Drosophila melanogaster: one gene and its partners. Changing the gene in region 1 together with any one later gene gives a genetic interaction. Each region holds a gene or a part of one and is shown on either strand. Other genes may lie near its edges.

Region 1 (7,950 bases):
GAAATGCATGCTAGAAGAAGACGGCGGCAATTTACACGGGCACGGGCACGGCTTAAGGGGTTAAGGGGGCGGCGCCATGGGTTAACCATTAACCTGCTACCCGGCCATTAACCTACTGCGCCGGCTGCGCGTCGGGCAGATCCAGTATCCTGGCCACGAACTCCGAGATGTCCGTGTTGCGCTGCAGGTGCTCCACGATGAAGCTGTGCTTGAGCAGCTGCTCGTAGTTGGGCCTTGCCATATACTCCTTCTGCAGGCAGACGGCGATGAAGTCCTCGAATTCCGGCGAAAATGTTCCCTCCGGCAGGCGCGGCGGACTGTCCTCAACCACCTAAAAGATAATAAAAAAAAAAATAGGTTCTTAATTACGCACGATGCGAAAACTTGTGGTTTAGATCGGTTACAAAATCCCTCTGATAAAAGCCTCATTCTGTATGTTTATTAATAGTTTTGTTTAGTATTCTGATAACCACAGCAGCTTGGCACATTACTAATGGTTTTTTTTAGAGTTTATTGTACGTGTAAAGTGCTTGAGAACAAGTGGTTATATTTTTAATTAAAATTACTTAATAGTTATTTGTGAGCCCCCAATAAGTTATGTAACGAAAGTTGGTTCTTGACATTAATATTAACAAAATCATTAGCAGGAAATAATAATACTCAGCATTTGCTTCGTATATGATTATGAGTGGCTATAACTACTATTTTTATACTATTTTCGACGGATTATCTGTGAAAAAACATAAGCTCCAATCAAACGTGTCAATTGATTATTAATTATCAAATTTTTAGAAATTCCACCCTTCTTAAAAGCTTTTAGCTACCACAATTGGAAAAATCCAAATGTTCATTACATATATGATAAGATGGAATACATTATCGGATCGGTAGCCTTTGTATAATTAGGACCTAAAATCCCAAATTGACTAAATGACACATATTTTGTCCGGAAAAATCTTGAAGATCCTCTTTGTGACAGTTACCAGCCAGAGGTAGGCACTCACCTGACGCAGTTGCTCAAATGGCGTTCGCCAATTGTCGTATGGGTAGCGGCCCGTGGCCATTTCGATCATGCCGATGCCCAGCGACCAAACATCCGACCTGATGTCGTATTGCGCCGGATTTCCTTGGGGATCGATCCGTTCCGGCGCCATGTACGGCTTGCAACCGGCATCAATGGTTTTGGCAATGGAGTCGACGAGGTAGCCTAAAAGTCAGTCCAATATTAGAATGATTACAGTGGCAAGAAGTCACAGAATGCCAGCCCACCTGAGATGCCAAAGTCACAGATCTTGACCTGGCCGGCCCGATTGATCAGTATGTTCGAGGGCTTGACGTCCCGATGAATGACTTTCAGTTGAGCGTGCAGATAGTGCAGCGCACTGACCACGCTCATGGCAATCTGTAAAGCAAAGGCAGTAGTACGGTAATAGTATAGTGGCGATTGCCCGATAAGATTAGACCCGCCCCCAATCCTCCCCAGCTGACCTTGCCCAGCACGCTTTCCTCCATTCGCAGATCGTGAAGGAAGACCTTCGGATAGAACTTGTCCAGGCTGGTGCTCATCACCTCCATGCAAATCCAGACATCGCCCTCGCGATACATCGCACCATAAAAGTGGACGGTGTAGGGGCAGTCGCTGGATCTCATCGATATGTCCAAATCCATTACAAGGCGGTGCTGTTCTCGAATATTTACGGTCATGGGTATGCGTTTGACGGCCAGGACCGTATCGGTTTGCTTATGGCGCATCTTATCCACGATGCCATAGGCGCCACGGCCCAGATCGCAGATCTTCTCGAGACTATCTGCATCGATGTCAAAGGTCCGGTCGCCAATTTGGATGGTGGCCCGCGAGTCCAGGTTGCGTGGCGGGACTCTAAAAGGATTGCCGAATGTAGTTCAATTCACAATTCGTTTCTGGCCAGGATTTGACCATTTTGACTTACATGGCGGCCTCTGGCTCCTTGGCAATGGTAAAGGGCGTGAGGCGGTGGCGTTTGGACATTTTGGTAGGCCCTTCTATATCCTATATCCTATATGCTATATGCTATATATACCCTCTCCTCTCCACGACTTTCCTTGGTGTTTTCTGGCGGATTCTGCAAGACTTGGCGGTTCGGTGCGAATCGGATGCGATGCGGTGCGGCTATTTTTACCGCATTTGGTCAGGTCAGGATTCGGATGCGGGTCGGTGATATGGGGATCGGATCGGTGTGGATCGTGTGGCCCGGGTTTTGCCGCCCAACCTTTCGCTATTGCCTTTGCTTTCCTTTCCGCACTTTTTGCACTGTTCACCGATCGCTTTTCGCTTCTCTTCTCGTTTTTCTCTCTTTTCCACTAGCGCTGGCCAGCCGCAGTTGGTCCTATCGATATATCCCAACGAGTGCAGCTATAGTATCGTCATACAAATAAATCGAAGTGCCTCGATAATAAATTTGCTTCCACCTGCAACGAATTTAGATAATTAAGTTAGGTATCGATTATATCTATATCTCTTTGTAAGCCTTCTAGAAAGTTGTTCCGTATATTCTTCATACCTATTTTTTAATGTTTGTTTATTTTCTTTAATTTTTTATTTATACATTTATAGACATTTATTTTAAGGGAAAACTTAATAAGTTCTAGCCAAGTGATGCCCATCTTAAGTTGCATTTCGGTATATTTATGATTCTTTTTAGCACTTTGGTCACTCCGTTTTCGATACGTAATGTTGCAAGTTTGACTGAACATATAGAATTCGATGTTTTAGAATTGTACTAAAATAATTTATTATTTTATTAATTAATAAATAGGTAGACCTTATATTATTATTTTAAGTACAAGAACAACGAAGTCTCTCGAATCGACCAATTTGAATTTGAAAAATCTATTATAGTTATATTATATTTGTATGAAATATCCTCTGAAAATTATTCTATCTCGGTAAAATAAAATCCTACATAGTTTTAGATGCCGTTCCTAGTTCGAAAACTGTTTCTGAGGTGCCGATGTTTTGCAAACCATCGATAGGCACGAAAAAAGATATTAAGAATTATCGGCGAAGAACCATCGATGGCTGATGCATCGATGTTTTTTTACATCACTATTGTACACGCGATTTAGGCAGCAAAAACGTACAAAAGCGAGTGATCAAATTGTGCCAGTGATACCGCCGCCCGCGGTCGCGAAACGAATCGATTGCAGAAGTGCGACAAACAGCGCCGCGAAAGGAAAACAACCGATGAAATATTCTCCCAAAAAAGGAGGAAAAAATCGCAAGTTGTTGTTGCCGTTGCTGCTGAAAAAGAAAGAGAGAGAGGGCGCTGCGTGTATGCCTGTGTGTGTGCGTGTGTGGGGGTGAGGATGTCTCTCTCTAATGCACAGTGACTGTGTTTTCCTTTTTTCGATTTTGTTTTTGTGCCCCCCCTTGGCAAACAACAAAAGTCCAAGCAATCCTTTATTTTTGCAAGTGTAAAGTTTACAGTGTATGTGTGCCGCCGAACAACAACAACATCAGCGACAAAACAAACAGGGCGCACAGCAAAACAATTCACACACACACGCACCCTCCCCCGCCTGCGCGCGCTTGTGTGTGTGTGAGAGAGAGGGAGTGAGTGAGAGGAAAATCGAAGAAGTGCTGGCCAAAAAACGGCGAAAAAAATTTAATAAATACCAAAATCCAACGATACTAGCAACTAACTATAAAAAATCGAACCAAATCGACTCGATATAATGTCCACCATTGAGTTCGAAACGATCGGCAGTCGGCTGCAATCCTTGGAGGCAAAGCTCCAGGCGCAGAATGAGTCCCACGACCAGATCGTCCTCTCCGGTGCGCGCGGCCCTGTCGTTTCCGGTTCCGTTCCATCTGCCCGCGTCCCGCCCCTGGCGACATCCGCATCCGCAGCCACATCCGCCACCCACGCACCTTCCTTGGGCGCAGGTTCCGTTTCCGGATCGGGTATCAGCATAGCCCAGCGTCCAGCACCTCCAGTTCCTCATGCGACGCCCTTCGGCAGCGCCAGCGCCTCGTCATCATCCTCATCCGCATCCGCATTTGCATCCGCAGCACCGGCGACGGGCACCTTCGGTGGAACATACACCCCGCCGACAACTAGAGTGTCGCGAGCCACGCCCACACTGCCCATGCGTAAGTCCTCTTTTCGTTAACTTCCTACTAAATCTTTAATATATAAAATTAATTGGGATCAACTAGAAAAACACTGTAGTTACCTGAATCTTTGAAAATCGTTGAAGAAAAATATAACAAAATATAATGTCACAACTAAACTCCATGTACCAGGGAATACTCTAAACCGCTATCTAAAAATGATAGCTTATCAAACTGCGTACTGTAACTCAAAATTTTCCAACGAGACTTTCCCGATTCGAATATTCGATAATTCTCTACTTTCGAAAGTAAATCGTTGTCGAAAAACAGTTTTGGCCGCCAAAAACGTGGTAAAACTTTCCAAGTAAATTTCCAAACGCACAAACAACATTTTTGATATTAATTCGCAGAAAGATCAATGTTTTATCGATCGAACATTAGACAGGTGAAATCTTTATTGATCCTCTGTGACAGGTGTGGATTTAAGCCAACATTTCTCTGACCGCAACTGTAGACAGTTTGTTAAGTGGTAATAAAAGTGGGCTGAGAAAAATCGTGATCCCCAAAAATGGTCACCAAAAATCTATATATACCGTACCGCCAACCGCAAGCCACAAAACCATCTTTTGTCCGCATTTGTGTAAATATTTTGTTAATAAATTGTCATTGCCCAATAAGCTGTGTATGTGCGCGTGTGTGTGTGTACATACATGTATGTGTGCTTAAATTGTGATAAGAGAAGTGCTCTTTTCTTGGCTTTTCCCATTGCTATTGCCATTGGGTTTACTTTGGAGCATTTGGATGCCGCCAACAAAGGGCAAACGCTATCGATTCCCCGACTGCATAACAGCTGCTCATAATCCCCCATTCCAGCACCTCAGCAGCGCCCCGTCAACCCCGTAGCTCTGCCGCTTTTCCCCCCCTCCGATTTCCCGTTCTGTTTTTCCGATTGCATAGATAAGACAGGCCAAGTGCGAACACCAAAAGCGTACCCAACTTGTTTTCGGCCTTTTGTTGGGCCAAACAAAAATAAAAAGAAGTCAAATCTACAGTGGTATTAACAGCTGTGAACCGCGTCAATTTATTTTCGCCTCGATTAGATTAACAATTCCTGGTACCATAACTGTTTGATACATGAACCCCAGAAAATGCCTAATGGGTTTTTGAATAATCAAATACATTTCGATTCGATTAGATTAGTAGTGGTTAATAGTTTCCGCGAATTTCAGGGGTACTTAAAATCACACCCAAATTTTAACAGTGTAATCAGCTATTGAATAGATTTTCAAGTTCGTGGTACATAATGAGCGAGCAAAAGTTAAATGAATAAATAGCTAACAAAATATAACGGTCTATATGTTAATTTATCAGAACAAAATTGGTTTATTAAAGACAAAAGTTGTCGTTATTCGATTATTTATGAGGCTTAAATTGATAGAAATTTTAAATTTTTCATGTAAGAGATGACGTTATTGTGCCCACGGTTGTGAGACCACCCACCGCCTTTTTTCGTTTCTTTTCCCCTTCCTTTTGTTATACATTTAAGTTTTTGCATATTTGTCTTGTATATTTTTCTTATTGGATTTTCATCTGCCATCAAGTGTTGTTATTTATTTACTTACATACTTTTTATTTACTTTTTGCATGTGTGCGTCTCTCTACTCGCGTTTGGTGCTCTCTTCCTCTCTCGCTCTCCGCCATTGGTTACTTTTTGGCATTTCCGGAGTAATGTCTTGATATGCCCGTTACTGTTGTTGTCATTTTTTTTGGGCCTCACATATTCCCACCTCCGCCGCACCCTGCCCACATTCGTTCATCGGACATTGTGCCGTGTCTCCTCTTTCGCATGTTTACAAATAGCGTTATTTTTTATGACGTGCTGTTGTTGTAGTGGCTAATTGTTGAATTGAATTGCTGCCAGGGAAAAAAAAACTTCGCAAACAAAAACAAAATCGCTCTCATTCGCTCTTCCTCTTCATGCACACACACACACACGCACACGATGGCACAGTGGGCAGCATTCGTTAATTGATTAGTGGCCTATGGTAACCCAATTGGAAGTTATTGCAAATATTTCAAAGGATTGTTTTTAAGGCATTTTTTTCGTATAGAAATTGAGAGATATGTGTTGGAAGTATTCTTGTTGTATATAATAGATATGCAAAATATTGTTTAATTTTTTAGTTAGATTGAATTTAATACGTACATTTTTATCATCATACCAACATATCGCTGTTTTCCATTGTATATCCTATAGTTTCTAGTGGTCCCGGTGGTGGACTGAATCGTACGCGGCCGGTGATACTTCCGCTGCCCACGCCGCCACATCCTCCAGTTTCGGAAACGGACATGAAGCTGAAGATCATCATGGAGCAGACCGGCAAGCTGAACATCAACGGGCGGCAGTATCCGACGGACATCAATGACCTCAAGCACCTGGGCGACCTGGGCAATGGGACTAGCGGCAATGTGGTGAAGATGATGCACCTGTCCAGCAACACGATCATCGCCGTGAAGCAGATGCGACGCACTGGCAACGCGGAGGAGAACAAACGCATCCTGATGGATCTGGATGTTGTGCTCAAATCGCACGACTGCAAGTACATTGTCAAGTGCCTTGGCTGCTTCGTTCGCGATCCGGATGTGTGGATCTGCATGGAGCTGATGTCCATGTGCTTTGACAAGCTGCTCAAGCTGTCCAAGAAGCCGGTGCCGGAACAGATCCTGGGCAAGGTCACAGTGGCGGTTAGTTCTGAAGGAATAGCGCTTCATTAGAATCTTTTCTTAATACTTATTCCATTTGCAGACGGTCAACGCATTGTCCTACTTGAAGGACAAGCACGGAGTCATCCATCGAGATGTGAAGCCCTCGAACATTCTGATCGATGAGCGCGGGAACATCAAGCTCTGTGATTTCGGGATCAGCGGACGCCTGGTGGACTCCAAGGCCAACACTCGATCCGCCGGCTGTGCAGCTTATATGGCGGTGGGTATAAAGAGCGGGAGGGCTATGATAGGGAAAAATAGACTAGACAGATCCTAGATTGATTGAGAAAATTGTGTATATTGTAAAGTACTAAATTTTTTTGCTACACAAGCTTACAACTCATTACATTTCTTGGAAAATATATAGGTTTGTTGTTTAATTGATCGGTGTCATGACTTAGTTTATTTAAATAATGAACGTGTTCGTAGGGAAATTCCAAGCTTGGCAAAGCAAGCCATAAATTTGAGATAATTGAAGCGTAAACTAAGCTTTTAATCAATAAGTACTTAGAATACATATGACCTATGTGATTCATCTAGTTTTTGAAACAACTATTTTGAATGCCCTACAATTTCAATTTTACAGCCGGAGCGCATCGACCCCAAGAAACCAAAGTACGACATTCGCGCAGATGTGTGGTCACTGGGCATAACGCTGGTGGAGCTGGCCACAGCGCGATCCCCGTACGAGGGATGCAACACGGACTTCGAGGTGCTCACCAAGGTGCTTGACTCGGAGCCGCCGTGTTTGCCATACGGCGAGGGTTACAACTTTAGTCAGCAGTTCCGCGATTTCGTCATCAAGTGGTGAGTGATACTTTCTAGTATTATTGTCGCTTGTACAGAGCCCAGTTAATATGGATCTTTTATCTGTTTGCAGCCTCACAAAGAACCATCAGGATCGACCCAAGTATCCGGAGCTTTTGGCCCAGCCCTTCATCCGGATTTATGAATCAGCCAAAGTAGATGTGCCCAATTGGTTTCAGAGCATCAAGGATAACCGACTGCGCGCCAATGGCGATCCAACGCTCCAGAGGTGAGCCCATCCGGTGATCTGTGCCAGATCCTTCAGCATTATTCCCACGACCCGT
Region 2 (6,471 bases), on another chromosome or scaffold:
CTAAATTTGTTTGTCAATGGTTCCCATTTATATTCTAAACTTTATACGTACGTACGTACATATATATTTCTCAATGAAAGCTTGGGCTTTAAAGATTCATAAATATAAGTGGAATTACACGCTCATTTCTACACAGAAAAATATATTCTAATATTTTCTCGTTGTATATTATCTTCGAATATAAAATAAATACTTCCTTTTGGAGCACCACCATCAAGAGACACTAAACGCTTGATGATAATGGGTGAGATCATTTTGCTGGTACAATGAACCTGTTTCCCTCACTTGGCATTCAGAAAAGGAGATCACTTTAGCCCGCATGGCCTTCAGTTTTTCACGGTGTAAAACCTCAAGGCGATCGCTAATCGTTTGGCATTTCCCAGCACCCATTCCCAACCAGATATCGCTATAGTTCCAGTTTGCAGCCGGATAATTATCCGCTGCTCGGCTCACCTGTAGTCGGGATTGAGTGTGTAGCCGGTCTGTGTGAACAGTCCATTGGCCAGGTGCACCTCATGAGCACCGGGTCGCTGGGCCCGTCGATTGGATCTCATCGCGCTGCTCGCCCGCCAATCGGTCAGCGGTCGTCCTGCGGAGATCGCCTCCCTGGTGGGCTGTTGCAGATCCTGCAGCATCAGGCCGAACTGTTCGTGCAGCCTGGACGTGTCCGGAATATCGAAGACCGTGGACAACTCCTCGTAACTGCGACCCTTGGCGCCCAGGAGCAGCAGAGCCAGCGAGTGTACAATGCTCAGGGGAGAGTATATCTGGGTTTTACCGTTGGCCAAATGCTGGCCCAGAATGTTGGCAAAGTTCAGCACACTGTTCGCAATCCGATCAGAGGTGGCCAGATCCACATAGCCGTTGGAGTAGGCAGCCGGAAGGTTGGAAGGTTTCACCGAAGTGCCGGATATGCGATTCAACGCAGGGTCATTCTGGTTGCCAAGGCCGTTCACAAGGCCGGGCGATTGAAGGGGCACCGCAGGCGGTATCGCCTGAATGTGCTGCTGCGCCTCCTGTTGCATCTGATGCCGCCGCTGCATCAGTCCATTGATGTAGGCCATCGTTTCCGGGGTCCTCAGGTCATCACGAAATAGTTCCGATTCACAGCACACCGAACTCACGAGCAAAAGTGCCAAAAGCAAGCGCCACATTTTGTAATTTTCTTTTTGTTAATCTCGAACGCAACACACAGAACGAACTTTATATATATATATATATATATATATATTTTTTTTTTTTTTTTTAGAGGCAAACGCGATGTGGCTGTGCGAGTTGTTAAAGCCAGACTGAATGATTGGCGCTGAGCGCGCATCTTTATAAAACTGGAATCGGAAACTTGTTATCAAGCAAAAACGCTCCTTCAAGTCCCCGATCTCTCGCGCTCTGCATCCCCAGCTGCTCTCGGATCTTGGCGAGCTTGGATCTGGGAGAGGTTTCGTCGACGAGTCACTGGTTATACCCCGGCTTTGTTTACATGGCTGACCCGTGTCTGCACTTGTTATTGATCTTCATCGATCGGTACTTTCTCACGTACTCATGTACTGCCCCCCGCCCATTCATATCAGCATTCTGCGAACTTTGTTGCGGAAATCCATGGCAGCCCTCTCCCATCCATTTGTATCTATGCATGTATGTACGTACGTATGTATCTCAAACCCGTGACGTGCATACTGATATTCTCTCGCAACCGGTGAGTAAATAGTTTAAATATTTATTAGCTATATACTATAGTCATTATGTTTGGTGCGTATTCTCGGTCTCGTCATTGGAAAGTTCGCGGCACATTGACACGGTGATGGAGTCGTGGTGGGATTTCCCAGCGCTAGGATAAGATTTGTGCTCATCTGTTGGGCCATCAGAACTAAACAAATATGAGATGGGTTTTATTGGTAATAGATAATGCCGTCGTACAAGCCCGTCGTAAATTATATTTAAGCGTTACTTGCTTTATGAGTTATTTTAGATTCGATGACTCATTTTTGCTTCTGTAATGCCAGTTACCAAAAATAGTTAATGGTAGTTGTGTAAGTTTTTTATCTATCATGTAAGTTATTAACTCTAAGTTAGTTAGTTTCAGCTTCAGTTTATGGTAAACTGATCATAATAAAAACCATCGACCATTAAAGTAAATATTATCCGGAAATTTAACTTGACAATTTAAGCACAAGTTTCATTATAAAAAATATTAAAAATGAAACGTGCAAAGGAAGCGTAAATAACTTCCTTTGAAATCATTAACATTTCAAGATTATATCATTTTATATTCACCAATTTTATCCAATATATTATATTAAATTTACATTACAATCCATCTCAATTTAATTCAAGCTCAAATTCATGGGTGCTCAGCTATAATTGAATGAGCTGATTCACTCTTCTTTATTATTAAAAAACCAATCATTTCCTACACTATATTTATTTTAATAATATTTATGTTAGTTTTTGGCTTCTTCTCAGTTGCTAGGCAGCCCAGTATGTATTGTCTATAGCACGGAAACCCAGTTTCTCGAACATGCTCCTCGAGGGGGTGTTCTTCGTTACTACTGGCGCCAAAACTTGATCTCCCGCTGCGGAAATCTTCTTAGCCATCGACTTCACCAGCAAGCTGCCGAGACCAAGGCGTTTATGTGACTCCAGAACCTGCAGCAGACCCAGGGATCCAATCGGCAATCTAAACAGGAAAGTTAATTAATTAATAAGTTTTTATATACATTTATATACAGTTCGATGGCTTACCGCAGACACCAGGCAACCAACTTTCCCTTGTCGTCATAAGCACCCAAATTAATATTATATTTAATTAAACTTCTCACAAAGTCTATAGAGCCGGGTTTATTATGTGGCCAGTTTTCATTGATGATTTCGGCATCTTCGATGGTCAAGTGCTGTAGACTTAAGCCCGGAGGAACCCTAAATTGAAATTATTCGTTTCATTGAGAGTTATAGAGTATAAAGTACAAACTCACTGAATGTTAAATGTATCTACGAGTTCTTTGCTGGCCGCGTACCAAACGGTATCCACAGTGTGCAGCTTCTTGTTGGCATAATATTTGTTGCCAATATACTCCACCACAGGTTTCAATCGCGTAGAAAACCCAAAGAAATCGTATTCATTCTCAATGGACTTGAGGCATTCTAACGCTTTCGTCACTCGATCCAAATTTTCGCTCAGTGTGTTGAAGTAAATGTGGTTCATATGAGTATCCGAACGTAGCTGAGATGATTAGACAACATTCAATCACCGAACTTTTGCATTTCACATCGCATAACTTACCGTTAGAACAAAGGTTCCATCGCTCTGCCAGTCGCCATTCAACGATAGGAAATTGACCTTCAATTGCGGGTCTATCTCCACCCACTTAATGAAATTATTTATGCACGGATAGCCTTGGGGATCCGTATCTCTGGCCACATACAAATCTCGCAGTTTAGTCCATTCGCCGCGTGGAATTTCAACCAACGAATTCTCCGTCGACATGACGACAACCTTTCGCAACAAAAGCTGAACGCAGACTAAACTTGAAACAAAAAAAAAAAAAAACAAAATGAGATAAGAGAAAAGCTGTGCACTACAAAGAGAGCAAACAAGTAAATCGAAACTCATAATAAAAGTAGACGTTTGTAATCTGTATTTATTCTTTATTTATAAAGTGCACGGTATCACTGCCCAGTAGAGTTTGTTGATATTGTTGAATCCTAGTTTCTCGAACATTTTTTGCGAACCCTCGTTTTCGGGAACAACTGTGGCCAGAACTTCTGAGCCCTTTAACTTGATTTCATTAGCCATAAAGCGCACTGCCAAAGAACCCAATCCCATTCGACGATGTGAGGATAAAACGTGTAGGTTACTCAAACTACCATGAGGAGATCTAGAAAATACAGATTGTTTCAGGAATATTATCAAACCCATCTTCTTTTCTTACCTTAGACACCACGCTAGGGGTTCTCCTTGGTTATCAAAAACACCAACAGCGAGATTGTTCTCCATAAAACCCCTTATCATAGTTATAGAATCAGCTGAACGATAAGCCCAATGTTTGTCGACCAATTCGGCATGATTTGATGTGATATAAGCCACTTTGCAAGAGGTACTCAAACTAAAGGGTTAGAAATTTGTAACAAGATTTTACTGAATATTATTATTTTACTTTACCTTGGTTTCCAACTGGGAATTTCGGTGCTTGGCAGGTGGTAAACAATAGCGCCCTGGTGTTCAAGATTAATCAAATCTTGACCCAAATTCAGCCAATATGCCTCAACTAATGGTTTGAATCGTTCTTCATAGCCACAGATTAAATGAAACACTTTAAGTTTTAGAGAGTTCAACAATTTGCCAAGATCTTCTGGGGTTCCCTTAATGGTATTCATATAAATATAGGCCTTGTTCTCCAAATAATGCTGAAATGCAGATCTAAAGTTATATTTCACATACCTAGTGTATGTGAACTATATATGTGCTTACAATTAGTATATAACTGCCATGTGTTCTCCAATCCGTATCAGTTGTATATATCTTTATGGATTCGGTTGTGGATAAGGGTATGTAATTTAAAAAGTACTCGATTAAGTCGAATCCCGTGAGATTAGTTCTATCATTCGCGTACAAATCTCTGAGCTCTGGCCACTGAGATTTTTCTATCAGTATAGGTTCCATTTCCAATTACAATTGTTGCTGAGGCAGAGAAAAATGATACTGATGTTTTTCTTTTCACAGACACAACAATTATTTACTGAGTTCTTTTTGTATATTTATGACAATCTCTTTCTCTTGCGTTCTCTTAGTATACCCATTGACGTCACAAAATATCTTGTGCTCTTTTGTAGACACCTTCTCATTTAAAAAATTTTCGATATGTTTTATACTCATTTCTGCGTTCTGATTGACTGATCGCCAACTGTAGAAATTTCTTTAAGCGGTTATCGATTTTTAAAAGTTTTAATAAAAAATATTTGCTTATCATTTTTATGTATTTGATTATATATTGGGGACAAACCCTCTATTAGAAATGCATGTAAATTTCGTATAACCTTGTCAAGGTCACAATGAAGGAACATATGAAGTGCTTATTTCTCAAAGTGTATCTTCCCAGGAAATAACCATTACGCAAAACACTAAATCTAAAGTCTGTGTTGACAGAACTGACAAAGATTTAAACCCAACCACGCCCCTTTAGCACACTCATGATAACTCAAACTAATTAATTAACTAAGATAGTCGTCAATCAATTTGATAGCAATCAAAGTCAATCATGAATGATTCAACTGCAACTTATTCCGTAAAGCTGATCAATTTACACACGCATCTCTGCTTTTTGGACACTCGAGGCCATCAACTAAGTGACACCGTTGACCCACCACAGGCACATGGCATATGGTATGTAAAATGTGAATAGTTGGGAGAAGACGACCGATCGATTCGGTATTCAGTATCATTCGAATGTTGGAGCTTAATAGACCGCTTCGAATCAACGCCATCGACGGCGATGACGTGATCGCAGCTGTTACAATTTAAACTGCCTCGATTTTGCATTCCGCGCGAGCAGTTTAACCAAAAAATGACACGCCAGTTAATTGCGGACAGCGAAATTGTTGGGTTCTAGAGTAGCAGCAATATTCCGAAGTTCAAATACCAATCCTACAAATCCATCGGAGAATCAACAAAGTAAGGCTTATCATCGCCAAGGCGAACCGGTTTGCCCAATAGATAAAGTCAGAATACGCCAGCATTTGAAAAATAACTGGGTGTGTAGTTCGACTTGAGACATGGGTCAAAAACTATCGTGTTGCCAAAAGTGCGGCGATTGGAAGTGGTGTACATCTAAGGACAACGAGGAGTCAACGCTGCGTATACGCAATGCCAATGCCAACTATTTTACGGGCATTCCACAAGGCGACAAAACAGGTTGGTTTCAATCGCCAAATAAATAAAAACATCGATCTTAACACCTTACTAATTCGACAATGTACTATTGTACATAGCCTACAAACAGTTTTTATAATTCAAACAACAAATTTGAATTTTACATAAGAACGTATCTAGATGTATTTTGAATACTAAGACCTCGAATTCAACGTTTAAGTTTGATTAGAGAAATTGATTGAGTCTCAAATTGTTTTACTACATATTTTAAGGCCGTTAAATTCGATTTTATCTTTGCGTTCCGCTTACCAACGTCGAAAATTGATTTACTTTATAGTGTATGGCACCGATCCAAACAATTATGCATTTGTTCTATAGTCATTTGCCTTTTATGAATGCAAATTTTATAGCCGTGGGTGTTAGACACTCATAGACGCGCTGCCCACGGTGTAGTTTTTTTCTATCCCCCCAAATTGCTCATTTCATACCTGCAATTTCGAAAATTAAATTAAAATAAACAAAGCATGAAGCAGCGCACCTGTTGATTGGCAGATAGCTTACACAGCAGTTTAGTAGCGCCAAAAATGTAATATTTAAACAATAACTGA
Region 3 (7,918 bases), on another chromosome or scaffold:
GTCGCATGTCGCTAATTTGTTGTTTCCGGTAATTGGTAAATATTTCTTAATTTAATCTCAAACAAAGTAAATTACATTTATCAGAAATCGTTTCCAATCGGTAGCAGTAACAAGGGTTCAATTTTTACTTCAAATTGAAAAAATGTTGTTCATGGACTTTTAAAAATATCTTTGCTTTTGGAGAAAAGTTCAATTTGTATCATAAACTGAAACCAGCGTAGACAATGTGCCGAAATATAAATTCAAATTTATCGTTTTTGAATTGCAAGCCAATTCAGTACCTAAAGTAACTAAAGAAGAGTTTATTTGTTATCAGATACCCGTTACTTAGCTGGATGGGCGTGGCAACGCCATGGAACAAACTTGTTCTGGAATCTGCGTTATGATTTCTATGATTTCTTATAGTAGAGATACGCTTATAAGGACAGACTGACAGACAGATGGGCGGACATGGTCAAATAGACTCGGTTAGGTGTTACATACTCTTCATGGAATCAAGTATGCCGCCTTACTCTACGACTAAGGGGTATAAAAACTGATGTATACGGATTAAAGCAGTTTTTGTTATAAGACGTGAAACTGTGAATTTTTTAGCATATTTTTTTAAATTTTTTTTTTTTAAATTAAATAATTCACCGACTGATGTTATGATTAAAATTAATATAGTTTTATTTTTCGTATGGCAGCTATTAACAATAGCTGATACAATAATCTTAGGTACTGTCATGCTTTCATAAATAAGTTGGTACCCTCTATATTTTATTCAATCCTGTCATCTATTAAACAACTAAGCTCCACAGTGAATAGCTTGCATTCCTATATTATTTATTTATATAAAACAGAGAATTCAATTGCCTGATATATTTATTGATTGACTTTCTTTTAACGAAGTAAAGGTGCTGCGGTTGTTATTGTTGTTGTTGTTGTTGTTGCTGTGGTTGTTGTAGGGTAAGTCAATGGATTACAAGTTGTGGTGGTTGGTCCGTTCTTGAGGCAGTTGTTCAAAAGCTCGTAGGTATCGGAGGTGTCTTCCACATAGGAGCGATTTGCGTCATTGATGCAAACACTCTTCCGGCTCTCTAGGATCGTATATTGCTCCTGGATCTGAACTGCAATCTGCGTGGCATTGGCCGAAATGGCATAGAAGGTCTTGGAGCTCTCGGCCGAGTTGGTGGAGGCGCATTCGAGGCGGGAGACCACGGTGTCCAGCGGCTGCTGCTCAAGAGTCCAGACCTGGCAATTGGAGTTGGGATACGAGCAGCCGATGTTGGCGGACCTGAGAAGGATCTGGCGATCCTCGGCATACTTCTCGCTGATATGGGATGTGCAATTGTCATAGGCCGAGATGCAAGCCGTAAAGTTAGTTTCGAACTGATCCGCAATTTTGGCCAATTTGGGCTTGTAGATCGAGAAGCACTGCGTGGAGTGATCTGAGTGGACTTCGGCCAGCTCCCTGCTCTGCAGCTGCAGCTCCTGGATGTGGGCGTCTGGTCTAAAGGGAATTTGCAGCTTCACAGCCAGCGAGAGGCCCAGGGAAAGGCAGAAGACCAAGATCTTGGCTTGCTTTGCGAACATCTTGGCCAGGTTAGTTGACGGTGGATGTGACACCCAGACGTATTTATACTCCCATTTATCATTATCTTTTTAATTACACATTAATGTTATATATTTTCAATTACTGATAATGATGGCTCTAAAGGTTTGATGGATGGCAATGTTAAACGAGAGTAGATAAGCTCATGTTTTACTGCCAAAAACCTTTAAGCTTTCTTGATACACTTTTGAAAAACACCTTCATATTGAGCTGATAATGAATAAGTCGTCCAATCCTTTAGCTAGTTTCAGAGGTATAGGATTTAATCGTTTAAACTTGATTAATATTCACTCAAAGTCTTTTATTTACAGCGATAAAAGTTCACGAATACAGGGTGCTCGAGGTGATCTGAATCTTGACTCGAGTCCTAGAGCACGTAGTTCGTGCTGGGAAACTCCCAGTTGGGATCACCCAGGCAGGCTACCATGTCGGCGTAGCACTCGCCGTGGTTGGTGTTGTAGGTCCGGTAGGCTTCGATTTGGCATCTGGATAGCGTTTCCGAGATTACGGACACCTCGGCGAGCAGGCTGGTTTGGTTGTCGGATGCGTTGTAGGAAGCTTTCTCCAGTTCCTTGGATGCCGAAGGACCCTGCGATTGGGTGGTGATATTATTAATGCTATTAAGCGCAAAAAGTTATACAAAATACGGCTTAAAACACTTTAAAATACTCATTAGAGTATGCGTGGAAGATCATAGATTAAGCCACCATTGTACGAATCACTCACCCCAGAGGCCAAGCACTCGAAGGCATCGGAGTTCGAGGTCCTGCCATTGCAGGTCAGGAGGGAAAGGCAGGTGTCCCTCACGGATACGGACAGCTCGTCGCGGGAACTGCGGTAGCTTGAGTCGATCAGGGAGAAGGCCCCGTCGTAATTGTCCTTGCACGCGGTGAAGTCCTCGTTGTACTTGTCCACGTGACCCTTAAGGAGCGGGCTGTAGTAGTCCACGCATTCGACGTTGAAGAGATCCGATCGCATGGCCGGAGAACTGAGCAGGAGCTCCACCAGCGAGGACTCCCTCTCGGTCTCGACGGGAGTGGGCACGGCAGCCACGAAGACGGCGCCGATAGCCAACAAAAGGGGGACGGCCTTGAACGACATATTCACTTTCGACACTTGGAGAACTGGACAACTGGAGTGTGGGGCCCAAAGACCCAGACTTGGCTTTTATACTGTAGTAATTCCAGCAACTAGATTACTAATATTTATGATCCACAAACTATCTGGGGTAGTTCCTGATGTAGACCCCGTTATCGTGACGCCTTGTGGAAGCTCTTCAAATAAAAGGTGTCAATGAAACCCCCAATATCAATTCAACAATATTCATTCCATCAAATAAACTAAATATATTTTACCCATTATAGGCAAAGAGCTACATATGTATATCTACTTTAGAAATTTAACACCATGGAAAATAATTTCGTGTTCTTGTTATACAATATATGTTTAGAGAAAGGTAGTAAATAAGAGACACTAGATTTCGCTGATATTTTTCTTTGAATAATTAATAGTTTTATTATTTAGCTCGTGTATACTAATAATGCATGGCTTATACACCAATTTTATATAAAACATATCAGGAATTCTGTTTATGGTAAATATAGATGCCTACGCAATTTTTATTTACGTCACCTCTAAAATAATTACATTTACTATCAGTTAAGAGGGTATTCACAAATTTTGTATTGCAATTTGTATTAATCACTTGCAGATTATAAAAGATAACACAATTCTAAGAATTCGTGCAGGAAGCACTTTTGGAGTATGGACACTCATAAATTAACGCATACTTAAACTGGCGGAAGCCACAAGAACTAAATGCAGTGGATTTGAACAACTAATTTTTTTGAGTGCACTGCCAGGACCTCGTTTAACACATCTGTTAACATCTGTTTCTACATAGAGTGATGGTGTCTCTTAACTGCATCGCACTTAACATCGCCAATAGGATGGTGTACTTGCTTAGGTGGGTTGCGTGTATTCGCTAGAAGAGTGCCTTCGGTTGCTATCGATAGCCAATAGCTCTTCGAATATCATCGATAAGTATCGCCCTCAGTACATCGATGCCCGATGCTTTTTTACATCACTAGTCACTTTGTTAATCAAAATATTAGAAAAAACTCCATTTCCGCCTCGAAAGTGCATTTCGGGATCGCGCAGAAGTGTTATTAAGTGCGCGACTCGTTCGTTGATCTTAAAAGCGCTAGTAGGCGATGAAAATCAAGTGGAAAACGATCGTTTTTTCTTCTTAAACTTTTACTTACGGCAGACACGCACACGCACGCAGCTCACCGACGCACTCGCACACACACAACCACTCGCACGCGGAGAGAAGAGCAGCAAGCGGAGGAAGAAGAAGCAGATCATCAAACTTAAAATTTGCGAGGTGAAAATAACGAGAGGCGAAGGTTTTCCCAGCACCGAAGATCATAAATCGCGAGTGCGTTTTCATTACCTCCCATTTTTTGGTGGCCATGCCGGATTTCCACCACCCCCCGCCCCTGCTGAAATCGGTGCTGCCAACTTGCTGGCCACTAAACAAATTTTTTTTTTGTGAATGGGATATGGATGCTGTTGCGCGCAATTTTCCCCACATTTTCCACAAAATGTATTTAACGCCCACTTTCGAGTGCTAAATTTAGTCGGCCAAGCGGAAGGACGAAGCCGCGTCCTTGATAAATCGATGTGTCAAAAGGAAATGCAAAAAAGCGCGGGACACAGAGGAAATAGCGGTGAAAAGCGTGGGCGGGCAGCTGCCGCGAGGTCTTCCGCCCCGCCCCCATTTGTGTTTGCGCTTTTTTCCATGTCCTTGCAGTCGGCTTACAGTTATTGTTCTGTGGCACAAGTGCAAAACTCAACAGGGGGAAGCCCCGCAAATGTACCCTGTACATATGTATGAGCATGTATATGTATATTAATTATGAAGCGCCAGCTGATTCCAGTTCGGAATTCACATGTTTTTGCCGGTTTATATATATGTAGTTAGTACCTTATATTTGGAGTCCTTCAGTCTCAACAGTTCAGGTTAAAACAGGTTAAAATAACACAAGTTATAGTAAAAGTATTCAAATCAATAGATAATACTTATTTTGGATTTTCTACCAGCATCCTACTGACGGTCAAGATGCGTTTACGACTCATACAGGTCGAGAATTAGAAAGAGTATAGCAAATAATTATTTCATGTTCAGCTGAAATCAAACTGCCATGAGTCAACTTAACTTCCGTAGAAATTTCTATGAAATGAAATGGTTTTACAAAAGCCGAGACTTGCACATCCGTTTGTGTCAGAAAAATCCAGATACCATTTACAGGAATATTCAGACACAGTATTCAGTTTATTATTTGTGTGTGGAAAACTATAAACTATCTATTTTGGCATGACCTTTGCTTAGTCATCCGCTGGTGAAAGTTCAAGTTCAAGGTCTTGCTGGTTGATATTGATTGGCAGTCGTTTAATGGTTGCATACCCTTGTGTCCTCGATCCGTAGATTCCTTGGCACCGGCTAGCCGTAAGAGGAGGAGAAATTGCACCCGCCCGGCACACAGCACACAGCATGTTCAGTGAACATGGGCGGATTCCTGGATAAGCCGAAAACCGCCAAGCACAATGACGAGGGTGAGGGCAACAAGCTGCTCTTCGGGGTCAGCTCGATGCAGGGATGGCGGTCGGAGATGGAGGACGCCTACTACGCTCGTGCCGGGCTGGGGGATGCCCTGCCGGACTGGAGCTTCTTTGCCGTGTTCGACGGGCATGCCGGATGCAAGGTGTCGGAGCACTGTGCCAAGCACCTTCTGGAGAGCATTATTAGCACCGAGGAATTCATTGGAGGCGACCACGTGAAGGGCATTCGCACCGGCTTCCTGCGCATCGACGAGGTTATGCGGGAACTGCCGGAATTCACCCGGGAGTCGGAGAAATGCGGCGGAACTACCGCCGTGTGCGCCTTTGTCGGCCTCACGCAAGTGTACATCGCCAATTGTGGTGATTCGAGGGCCGTCTTGTGCCGCCAGGGTGTTCCGGTGTTCGCCACGCAGGATCACAAACCCATTCTGCCGGAGGAGAAAGAGCGCATCTATAATGCGGGTGGCAGTGTTATGATAAAGCGCGTAAATGGTACCCTGGCAGTGTCGAGAGCCCTTGGGGATTACGACTTTAAGAACGTCAAGGAGAAGGGACAGTGCGAGCAGTTGGTATCGCCGGAACCGGAGATATTCTGTCAGAGCCGCCAGGATAGCGATGAGTTCCTGGTGCTCGCTTGCGATGGAATCTGGGATGTGATGTCCAACGAGGACGTGTGCAGCTTCATCCACTCGCGAATGCGGGTGACCAGTAACCTAGTGAGCATCGCCAACCAGGTCGTGGACACCTGCCTGCACAAGGTGAGTCTTGATTACCATGCATATCGTCAAAGTTTTCACATGCTGTTCATTTCTTGACTACAGGGTAGCCGCGACAACATGAGCATCATCATCATTGCCTTCCCCGGAGCTCCGAAGCCCACCGAGGAGGCGATAGAGGCTGAACATCGTCTGGAAAAGCAAATCGAGAAGATCACAAGAGGTTGTCTTAGTCGTCTACTCTGTTTATAACTAATCGTAAACTGTTGACCCATGGCGTAGTGGTCTCCTCCGTCTTCGCGTCTCTTTTGAACCGAAATACGTATATTTTGTACCTTGAGCGTCACGAGTACTTTATATGGGCTCCTCGATGGCCTACAGTCCCGACCCAAAGTGCTTCTAGAGCTGTATATGCCCCACTTTGTCCAAAACTAGAATCTTACAAAACAATTCCTTTCCGAAGTAGTTCCAAAACGAAAAACAATACCAAAACGAAAACCAAACCATTGCCATTACTAATGCCAAGAATGAACTCCTCGCACACCCACCTCAAGTACAGTGAAAGCTCTATTGGATGGATAATAATAGGCACTGATAATCTATATGTGTATTTCTAATACTTATTTGAAACCTTTCGAATTTACAAATTCATATCAACAGCAAAAAGGCTGAAGTCCGTTTTTTTTTTTTTACAAGAGTGCTATATAAATGTTGTATACTCTACATAATGTGGCTCATTTATGCTCATATTCTTAGTGCTTAGACATCACGTACATTTAGTTATATATTCCCTTAGAGAGCTTTCACCGATATTTGCCTGTATAAATATGTAAATGGGGTGTGTGTGGGCGTTCGACCAATATCCTATCACTAATGCATAGCAAATACCTGTATAGCGTGTTAGTTTGTCATATCTGGTGGCTGTGCGTGTGGCTGACCAGTGTTCGTCTGCCCCGTGTGTGAGCCTGAGTTATAGTATTATTTATACATGCCTGTGTGCACTACAGCCACTGCCAAAAGCGTTCCATGTATGCGAAATCCAGCCCATTTAGCTTTAGTCGTACATATACACCTAAATAATAACAATTATCGACGAACCTGCCCGAGCTAAGTAGTTAAATGACCCGTCAACCAATTTGTATATACATTTACTTGCATATACGTATACCCCATTTGATACTAGGCGCGATGTGAATCAATCAAACGAAATTGCAATACTTAACGTACGCAGGTATTGACACTCAAAACAAACACTTGGAATTGATGTATCTAAGTAGGAGTAGCGAATTAAATCTTAATTTCTAAGCAAAATCAAATAGGAGAGTATAATGTCTTCAGAGAAGATTAGTTGTAGATAGAAATGTAAATAAGCTGAATAGCTGACAAAAACTTTGAGAAGCAATGAAAACATATATTTTATTAACTAGCAACCGCTCAGATGAACTGTAGTCGTATTACTTGAATTACGTATTTAAAGCAATGAATAACCCTTGGTGGTGTTTATCCGAGACTTCAGTATTCGAGGCACCAAAGTGAAACTCGGCCAAAAACCCGCAGGCCGACCTTGTTGATATAGACAATTACTTTAGACCGAATTCGTACGATTTACAATTAGCCAGTTAGTGAATAGACTTAGAGCATGCATTGCCCACCACTGGTCACAGTAGCTAACCCATTTAGAAATTATTTAGGCTAAGCAATAAACCAATGTCCAGTGTCCAGACGAATTACTTAGCCTAGAGTAGAGTAGCCAAAGGAGTTGAAATGTTATAGAATGTATACGTAGGTTAACGAAACCGAATTGTAAACCTTATGCTCACCAACTGTTGTGCTTGTTGTTAACCGAAGGCAAACGATTACTCCACCCAAATCGATCAGACATATTCCATTCAATCTAAGCAACTTCCCCGAAATATTTGTACTTGGGTGCCCTGGTAAATTGGTGATCCAGTTAAAAGTGTAAAACACACACATCCCACACAGC
Region 4 (7,965 bases), on another chromosome or scaffold:
ATCGAACGGAACGGCGGCCACGAGATCGATTAGGAACCAGCCGCTCAAGTAGTGAACTGCTATCCGTCCGGGATGGGATACCTAGAATGAGTGTGGTTTGTTTAATTTCCAAATTTGAGTACTCCACCACGCTGGCCACTGACCACTTCGTCCTGCGAGTTGACAAAGGTCGTTCGAAAGTTTATTATAATGTCCACGATGAAGGTAACGTCCACTGAAAAGTTCCATTGATAGCTTAACCCACAAAATGCAGCATTAGTGCTCACCAATCAAATCGATGATGACAATTGGATCGGAGTTGATGTATTTGCTGTTCCGCCGCTGGTAATCCTGTTCCCCAAGCAAAAAGGCAGCCACGTACGGCGTGAAGATGGCCGTGTACATCACCAGGATCAATATTATCCAATCCCACACAGCCTTAAAGGGCGAGTAGTGCAGGAGGGTCCACTTGTGATAGTAGTTATTCTGCAACTTCTGGTCCAGCAGTATGTTTCCGCCCAGGGAAGTAATCTGATGATTTGAATTCAATAAATATAGTACTTTAATCGGCTGATTCAGATACCATGTCTGCATACCATGTCATTGGGATCCTGCCCCTTCGGCTCGCTTTTTGATCCGAGCAGAGCCTCCTTGTCCAGCATGTCGTCGTAGGAGTTCCCCATCACGTTGTCCGTCGGCTTTTCGGCCTGGTTGTATTTGAGGTTCTTGAACATGCACTCGTAAGAAGTGCCTTTGTGGGTCTGGAAGAGGTCGGCGTTATTTTTACGCAAGGGATCATACGAGCAGAGGAGATCGCATTCCCGCCGGGCGGACACCTGATAGTTCTTAATGTACAGCTTCTTCTTGTCGCACTTAATGCATTTCTTGAAACTTTTCTGCTTTTTGTGCTGACTTGGCTTGGATTCGAGTGGGATACCATTGGTTTCGACAGCATTTTCCCCCTTCATGGGCTTCACTTTTTTCAGGCACTCCCTTTTGTTGTTGATTTTGAATAGAAGAGGCGAAAAGAAGCAATCTGCCGTGATTTTCGTGCCTGGCCTCTCCTTCGATTTTCCACCAGCCTTCAGCTTTAGGGCTTCATCATCGTTAGTGGGTCGAGTCCTCAGGAATTTGTGGTACACCAGAGTGTTGTGGTCGGACACGTTTTTCGGAAACCGCGCCAAACTCTCCTTCTTGTCGTCGAACATGCTGGCGTTAATCAGGATATCTGAAACGAAAACCTGCTTCTTTTCAATCTTGTTCAGGTTGCACATGAGCGAGAAGAGTTCCCTCTCCACAAATTTGTTCGATTTTGCAGGGCAATTGCGCTTGAATTCCTTCACAGGCGGTTTCTTGGCCGCATTATCGTTAATATTGTTGTTGGACATGTACAGCTCGCATTGCTGCACTATTTTATCCAATTTTCGAATTTCGCTCAGTTCCACGCAAGATTTGTGGGACATTTTTAAGTCTGCAAAGTATAGAAACGAAAAAGTGTTGCAAATTATAATCAAACATTCGCAAAGCTCAGAATATCCGGATTCGTAAGCAAATTCAAATAAATCTTCGCTTAAAAACAACTTAATAATAAATCCAAAATTTCCACTTACTCCAGATTGAAATTGGCGAAAACTGCGATTTCTTACCTAATGCACTTTCTTATTTACTTGCAAATCAAAACAGAACAGGTATGACATGCACGCGGAGAAATCAGGAGTGGAAAATCATTTTCAATCAATTAAAAACACTTCAATTCGATCTTGTTCGTTACACATACTCTACTTTTTAAATATCATAGATAAAATAAAAAAATGAATAGATGTATGTAAATACATGGCATTTTCATTTCGAAGTCAACTGCTTTATAAGACCAACTTTTTTTTCCCGGTGTAATCAGGCTTTGCTTTTCTGAAATTTTCAGACATGCGTACTGCTTTCGGTTTTCAAAGATTCGAAACCACCGTGATTTTCGAACCATTGTTATTTTCCTTCTCGCATTCGGTCACACTATTTTCAAACGTAAACAATTGATTTTTCCTGCTAAACAAAAGTGGTTGAAAATGTCGGGAATCGCTGCCAAAAAGATTGCCGAAGCGGAGGACCTGGTGAAGCAGGCCGAGAAGAGGTATCCCCAACAAAAATATCCTTATAAAGGGGTTTCCAAATAACACCCATCTTTATTTGCAGCTTGAAGTTGTCCATGCTGAAATGGGTTCCTGATTACGATAGTGCTGCGGATGAGTATTCCAAAGCTGGTGAGTTTCACAAAGTAGGAGTGACTAATATCACCCAGAGTATCTATCTATAAAAACATTGTGACATCAATGAGATATGTAAATACTATGAATTACAGCTAACGATTATCCCAAAGTATCCATAACTTGCAAGATACACACATATTGGTGTACAATTATGTATCTTTCTTTTACATTTTTAATTGCAGCCACTGCATATCGAATAGCTAAAAGTTATGATAAGAGCAAGGAGTGTTTTCTGAAGGCAATCGACGCCTATAAAAACAACAAGTCTTGGTTCCATGCTGCAAAGGCATACGAACAGGTGAGCTTAAATTGAAGTTAATATAAGTGAAGTTAATAGGAAATTTAAACCCTCTAAATGTGCACATCTTCTAGATCATTTTGCTGTCAAAGGATGCCGATAAGCTACACGAAGTTGAGGAATACGCCAACAAATCGGCGAGTTTGTATCAACAGCACGGTTCCCCAGAGGCAGCCGCATCCGCCTTGGATAAAGCCGCCAAGTTAACTGAATCCAAGCATCCTGACATGGCTTTGCGCTTCTATCAGCATGCTCTAGAAGTCATAATGGTTCGTCCTATTTGACACTGCTCTAGTCAATTCCATTCTTAAACTATTAATTTTATACTTACCCGACAGATCGAGGATTCCGTCCGTCAAGCAGCCGAGTATGCATCAAAAGTTTCCAGGATACTGGTCAAACTAAGGAGGTATGTACCTATGATTGCAACGAATCACTTTGGGTATCCTTAGCTTATATCATCCAATCACTCCAGGTACGACGAAGCCACGAATGCGCTCAAAAAGGAGATCAGCTTGAATCAGCAAACGGAATCTTACGGACAAATTGGACGCCTAGTTGTGGCCTTGGTGATGGTCCAACTGGCTCGCGGGGATTCCGTGGAAGCCGAAAAGACCTTCAGGGAGTGGGGAAACTGCTGCGAGCCAGAGGAAGTGTCCACACTGCAGACCCTTCTGCAAGCCTTCGATGACGAGGATCCCGAGTTAGCTGCTAGGATGCTGGCATCCCCATTCATACGACATATGGATGTTGAGTACGCTATTCTATCTAAAAACATTCCACTACCTCAGGGTATACAGATGGAGAAGAAGGCTGGCGACACTGCTGCTGTGAGTATTTTTATTCTAAAAATGGAATTTGCAATTTTTGTTTTGTAAATTTGGCTCTTATTATGATGTTATCGATAGGCGATTGAATCTGCCTTTGTTGTCGATAGAAGACTTGGGACAGTGCGAAGCAGTAAACTAAATAGCTAACAAGAATTTCGTATTTTCTCTCTTTCTCTCTCGCAGGAAACCAACGACGCCGAGGACGAAGGTGGCTTGTGCTAAATTTCTTAATGTTCGGTCTGCTTGTTAGTCAAAATATATTTATCGTTAATAATATCGCTTTTAACATATTATATTAACTGTTAAATACAAATTTCATCGCAATCGTTGTACTAATTAATAAATACTAAGATCAATACTATACAACAAAGAATATCATTAGCTTTGGGATGAATTGATATTGAAGTAATAAATTGTAGCTATAAGTGTAAACTATGTATATATATTCTATGTTCCAAAACAGCGAATGTGTTAAGATTCAAATCTGTAAATCTTCAGCTTTATTACACGAAAGTATAGTGCAATTTGTTAATATAAATAAATAAATTAACTCAAACTATACTATGTATTTTAAAGCACCCTAAAATATTTGACATTTTGAAAGATCGAAAGTGTGCCATTTCACCGTTCCAAACGCTTCACAAACGTCGCGACGCGTCACGACGCATGTTGATACTTTGCCGGCGCCTGGCAACCCTAACCTGTGCGAAATAACCGACCAAATTGATTCGTCCGGTTGTTCGTGAAAGAAGGCGGAAGGTTAAACAGTATTTGTAAAATATATACTCGGCGAAGCAGCAATTTGAGAATTGTGAAAGCGAAAAACTACAGGAAAAATGGTACGTACACTTGGGACTCGCATTCAGACTCGGTGGTAAAAGCGGCCGGTCATTGTGCACTTTTGGAAGCGAGGTGGAGTGCAAATAATGTCTTCGATTCGATGAATCATATAAGCATCTCTCCTTTGAAATCTGTATATACATACATATTTAGATAAGTGTGTATATATCAATCATACATATATTTCCACTTTTTTTTGCCTATATGTTCGTTGGCCATATTCGGGCATATACATGGTCATGAATGTGTGCGTATACATATATACCAAATTAGTCATTGGTAGCAGCGGATATTACTCATTTATTGGAGTGTTTCATACTTCTCAGCCGCCACTCACACTCATAACTGGCAAATTCGCGAAAGGCAATCGCGAAAGAATGCTCCAAAGTGGCAGCTGGAAAAATGGAGCGATTAAAAATTGAAATGTTGGAAAGAGAAATGCACACACATTGGATTTTCATGTCTATACATATATATATTTTTACACACTTGAGCGTGTGTGGGTATACCGCTTTTTTTATATTTCGATGGCTATAAATATGTGCGTATGTATGTATCTGCGGGGCAATGCTTAATGCTTATTTTCTCGCAGACGCAAAATGTGTGTACATATGTACGTCCATATTACCATACAGAAATATGTATCAATATATATCCATATATGTATCTGCAGGCATACATATTTAAGGTGTGATCGTTTCCTTGCCGCCTTGCGGATGTTCATACATACATACACATGATGTTTAGCTGTGTGTGTGCAGCAGACGACTGTTTGCATGTGGGACGATTTTGATTTTCTCGACATTTTCCGAATATTATGGAAAATCGGGCATTTTCCACCGTTTTGTGAGCGCAACGAAATCGTGGGGAAACAGCCACCTCCCTTTTAGTTTTCTTTCTCCCTCTTGTCGGCTTGTTCTCACCCTTAAACTTGCCGGCACTTGTGAACTTACCCTTGAACTTTCCGAGCGCCGGGAAAAAAAGAAAGGAAAATCTAACTGTAAATGGTGCCACGCCCACCACTCCCAGATAAATCGGCGTGCCAAGTGTGCGCACGCCTTAACCGGTAAAAGTTCTGCGGTGGCAATGCAAATAAAGTAGCATAAATTATTTACCTTTATGTTTGTTATTGCCGGCAATCAAAGAAATAAAATTGCAAAGTCGAAAAGGGACGGATATACTGTCAGCTGAAGGTGGGCAGTTATGTCTGCCAGTCAGTTACATACGCACATATGTACATCAGTGAGGTACAGGGTGCCTCGTGTCTTATGTGGGCATAAAACATTGAACTTCACTTATTTTTTTTTACAATTCAACTACTTGGTACTTCATGAACATTTGTTTTAAGGGAATACTTGGGGAAACGCAAAGAGAGCACCCTGTATCACATACATGCACACACACTTGGTTGACAGTTTGGCGCGCATTGAACATTCAAAATACATTCTCTGATTTGCATCTCTACCTTCTCTCTCTCTAAAGGCTTCTGGTGTAACTGTGTCTGATGTCTGCAAGACTACATACGAGGAAATAAAGAAGGACAAAAAGCATCGCTATGTCATCTTTTACATTCGCGATGAAAAGCAGATTGATGTGGAGACTGTGGCAGATCGCAACGCCGAGTACGACCAGTTTCTAGAAGATATCCAGAAATGCGGACCTGGAGAGTGCCGGTAAGTTCCGCCGGTTAGAGACACCCAGACCCATCGAAACTAACCTAATTTAACATCTATTCGCTTGCACAGGTACGGACTGTTCGATTTCGAGTACATGCACCAGTGTCAAGGCACCTCTGAGAGTTCAAAGAAGCAAAAGCTGTTCCTTATGTCGTGGTGTCCCGATACTGCCAAGGTATGTGAATAGCCAGTTGCCAAGTAATGGCGCAGAACTCATTTCGATATCACACACCCACAGGTCAAGAAGAAGATGTTGTACTCCAGCTCCTTCGATGCTCTCAAGAAGTCGCTCGTGGGCGTCCAAAAGTATATACAAGCCACTGATCTTTCCGAAGCCTCCCGGGAAGCCGTCGAGGAGAAACTCCGGGCCACCGACCGCCAATAAACTGTACGAGCACTGTGCATTGCATTTAACAAACAAGGCATGCATGAAACAGCGATGGAAACACGTATCCTGTTGAGATCGCCAATTTGTATGAGAATTTTCTACATAATTTGTATTTTCAGTAGAAATAAAGAATGAAATATTTAACTTGACCAAGTCGCGTTTCCGCTGTGGTAAAAATCTCGTACCGCAGAATACACTTTATTATAAGGAGCAAAGATTACATTGTACATATGATGACGGTTCTAACTTATAGACCGAACGCTTAATAGCCATGCTGGATCACTAGAGTCTGGAGAACCTTTCTAATCTGGTGGCCAGTGTTCAGGCACGACTTCAAGCCCAGCGAGAAGGCCACCGTTAGGATGTCGATTGCGTGTTCCTGCAGCAGCACCGACATCTCCGGCAGATTGTCAATGGCCGTCGCTGCCACCGAGGAGTTCTCGTCCCGCAGGCACTGAATGTAGGCGTTAAGGGTGCACAGGTTGATGTCCGAATTGCCGGGATTGTGCTTCAGATGCCTGATCAGTATGATGAAGGCGATGGACCGGATCTGGGCACTCGGCGAGAATATAAGGTTGAGCAGTCGTTCGAACAGCTCGTTGATGAACACAAATCTCTTGGAAGTGAGGCACTCCAGCTCCTGCATGGGACCCAAGACCACGTCCTCCGTGTTGGACTGCTTTATGATCTTGACCAGATCGAGGAAGTGCGGCGATATGTCCGTGTAGTTCGACCGGCTGTACGAGCCCAAGGTTAGAACCGATAAGGGACCCCTACTGCTGCTTGGATCGATGGGTGTTTGCGGATTCACTTCGATGGGATCCTCTGTTACCACGGGCTTGCTGGCCGATGGCTTTACATCGAAATGCTCATCCAGATCGTACTCGTACTTAACTTCCTCGTCGTCCAATTCCGTCGCCGAGTGCGACTTGTGCTGCAGCAGGGCAACGGCCTGGACCAAAACCTGCAGTTTGCCTAGTGAGGTGTACTTGGCTGCAAGTTCCTTCAGGATGCCCACGTACTGTTCGATGAAGAGCAGAGCACTTGAGGGATTGTAGTTGATGTAGGCTTGGAGCATCTGCACAAACTTGTTCAGCATTTGGCAGGCCTCTTTTACGTTGCTGTGGTGCTTGAAGAAGTTGAAGTAGCACGACAGCGTGTTTTGGATCTCGTTCTTGTACGCCTCCTCAAAGATGGTTGGTTGCAGCAGCTCCAGCGTCCTCAGGATCTGTACAAATCGGTGGAAGTGGTGCTCCTCGCGCAGGGCCTTCATGCTGAGCTGGGCCCGACCTTGCATAATGGACGACAGCACGCCCAGCTGGCGAAGGAAGAGAAGCGGGTGGGAGGCAGCCAGCTTGCGAAGGAGCAGCTCGGTGTCCGTGGACAGGGTTTCAAAGTCCTTTTTGCCCACCAGACTGCCCAAGCAGGTGATCAGATTGTTGGACACCTTGTCCGCCTGGCAGCCCTTCAGATTCTGCAATTTGTACGCCTGCTCGCCGGTTTTGCCCGGTTTCAGAAACTTGATGCGCGGATACATGATGTACATCTGCTGGAGGACCTGCAGTTTCAAGTAGTCGGACACCGAACTTTTCTCCACGTGCTCCATTACCTTGACCATGAGGTCTCGTCGCTTCTCTGTGAGCTTAAACAGTAGGTTCATTCGCGAGCAGAGCTTGAAATCATAGTTTTTGCT

The links.
Region 2: of hep (region 1) and Glyat, changing one suppresses a phenotype caused by changing the other (phenotypic suppression), as found in Drosophila melanogaster (one study listed by BioGRID).
Region 3: of hep (region 1) and alph, changing one suppresses a phenotype caused by changing the other (phenotypic suppression), as found in Drosophila melanogaster (one study listed by BioGRID).
Region 4: of hep (region 1) and tsr, changing one suppresses a phenotype caused by changing the other (phenotypic suppression), as found in Drosophila melanogaster (one study listed by BioGRID).

Annotation. Positions count from the first base shown.
Region 1 is NC_004354.4:13,085,541-13,093,490, reverse strand, and holds the start of hep (hemipterous), read left to right. Parts: upstream 1-3,056; 5' UTR 3,057-3,714; coding exon 3,715-4,132; intron 4,133-6,350; coding exon 6,351-6,838; intron 6,839-6,899; coding exon 6,900-7,079; intron 7,080-7,445; coding exon 7,446-7,666; intron 7,667-7,739; coding exon 7,740-7,895; intron 7,896-7,950. Other genes in the region: lic (licorne), read right to left, coding at 113-331, 1,005-1,207, 1,270-1,402, 1,489-1,879, 1,950-2,008. UniProt on the Drosophila melanogaster protein: Required for the epithelial cell sheet movement called dorsal closure (DC), which allows establishment of the dorsal epidermis. Controls the expression in the dorsal epithelium edges of another dorsal closure gene, puckered (puc).
Region 2 is NT_033779.5:8,005,979-8,012,449, forward strand, and holds Glyat (glycine N-acyltransferase), read right to left. Parts: upstream 4,675-6,471; 5' UTR 4,658-4,674; coding exon 4,466-4,657; intron 4,402-4,465; coding exon 4,157-4,401; intron 4,101-4,156; coding exon 3,927-4,100; intron 3,873-3,926; coding exon 3,647-3,872; 3' UTR 3,625-3,646; downstream 1-3,624. Other genes in the region: Spn28Dc (serpin 28Dc), read right to left, coding at 454-1,154; CG12560 (uncharacterized protein), read right to left, coding at 2,464-2,674, 2,740-2,913, 2,970-3,217, 3,278-3,481; Tg (transglutaminase), read left to right, coding at 5,767-5,905.
Region 3 is NT_033777.3:29,588,188-29,596,105, forward strand, and holds the start of alph (alphabet), read left to right. Parts: upstream 1-3,643; 5' UTR 3,644-3,980; intron 3,981-4,906; exon of another isoform or gene 4,907-5,084; 5' UTR 5,085-5,163; coding exon 5,164-5,976; intron 5,977-6,039; coding exon 6,040-6,157; intron 6,158-7,918. Other genes in the region: CG11470 (uncharacterized protein), read right to left, coding at 883-1,575; CG31041 (uncharacterized protein), read right to left, coding at 1,962-2,183, 2,321-2,695.
Region 4 is NT_033778.4:24,042,908-24,050,872, reverse strand, and holds tsr (twinstar), read left to right. Parts: upstream 1-4,067; 5' UTR 4,068-4,204; coding exon 4,205-4,207; intron 4,208-5,690; coding exon 5,691-5,881; intron 5,882-5,953; coding exon 5,954-6,059; intron 6,060-6,122; coding exon 6,123-6,269; 3' UTR 6,270-6,420; downstream 6,421-7,965. Other genes in the region: sei (seizure), read right to left, coding at 1-81, 144-214, 267-510, 576-1,442; gammaSnap1 (gamma soluble NSF attachment protein 1), read left to right, coding at 2,040-2,104, 2,167-2,234, 2,423-2,538, 2,613-2,807, 2,877-2,947, 3,014-3,368, 3,552-3,590; IntS1 (integrator 1), read right to left, coding at 6,535-7,965. UniProt on the Drosophila melanogaster protein: Exhibits F-actin depolymerizing activity and regulates actin cytoskeleton dynamics. Required for cytokinesis in both mitotic and meiotic cells and for aster migration and separation. Promotes cell motility during ovary development and oogenesis.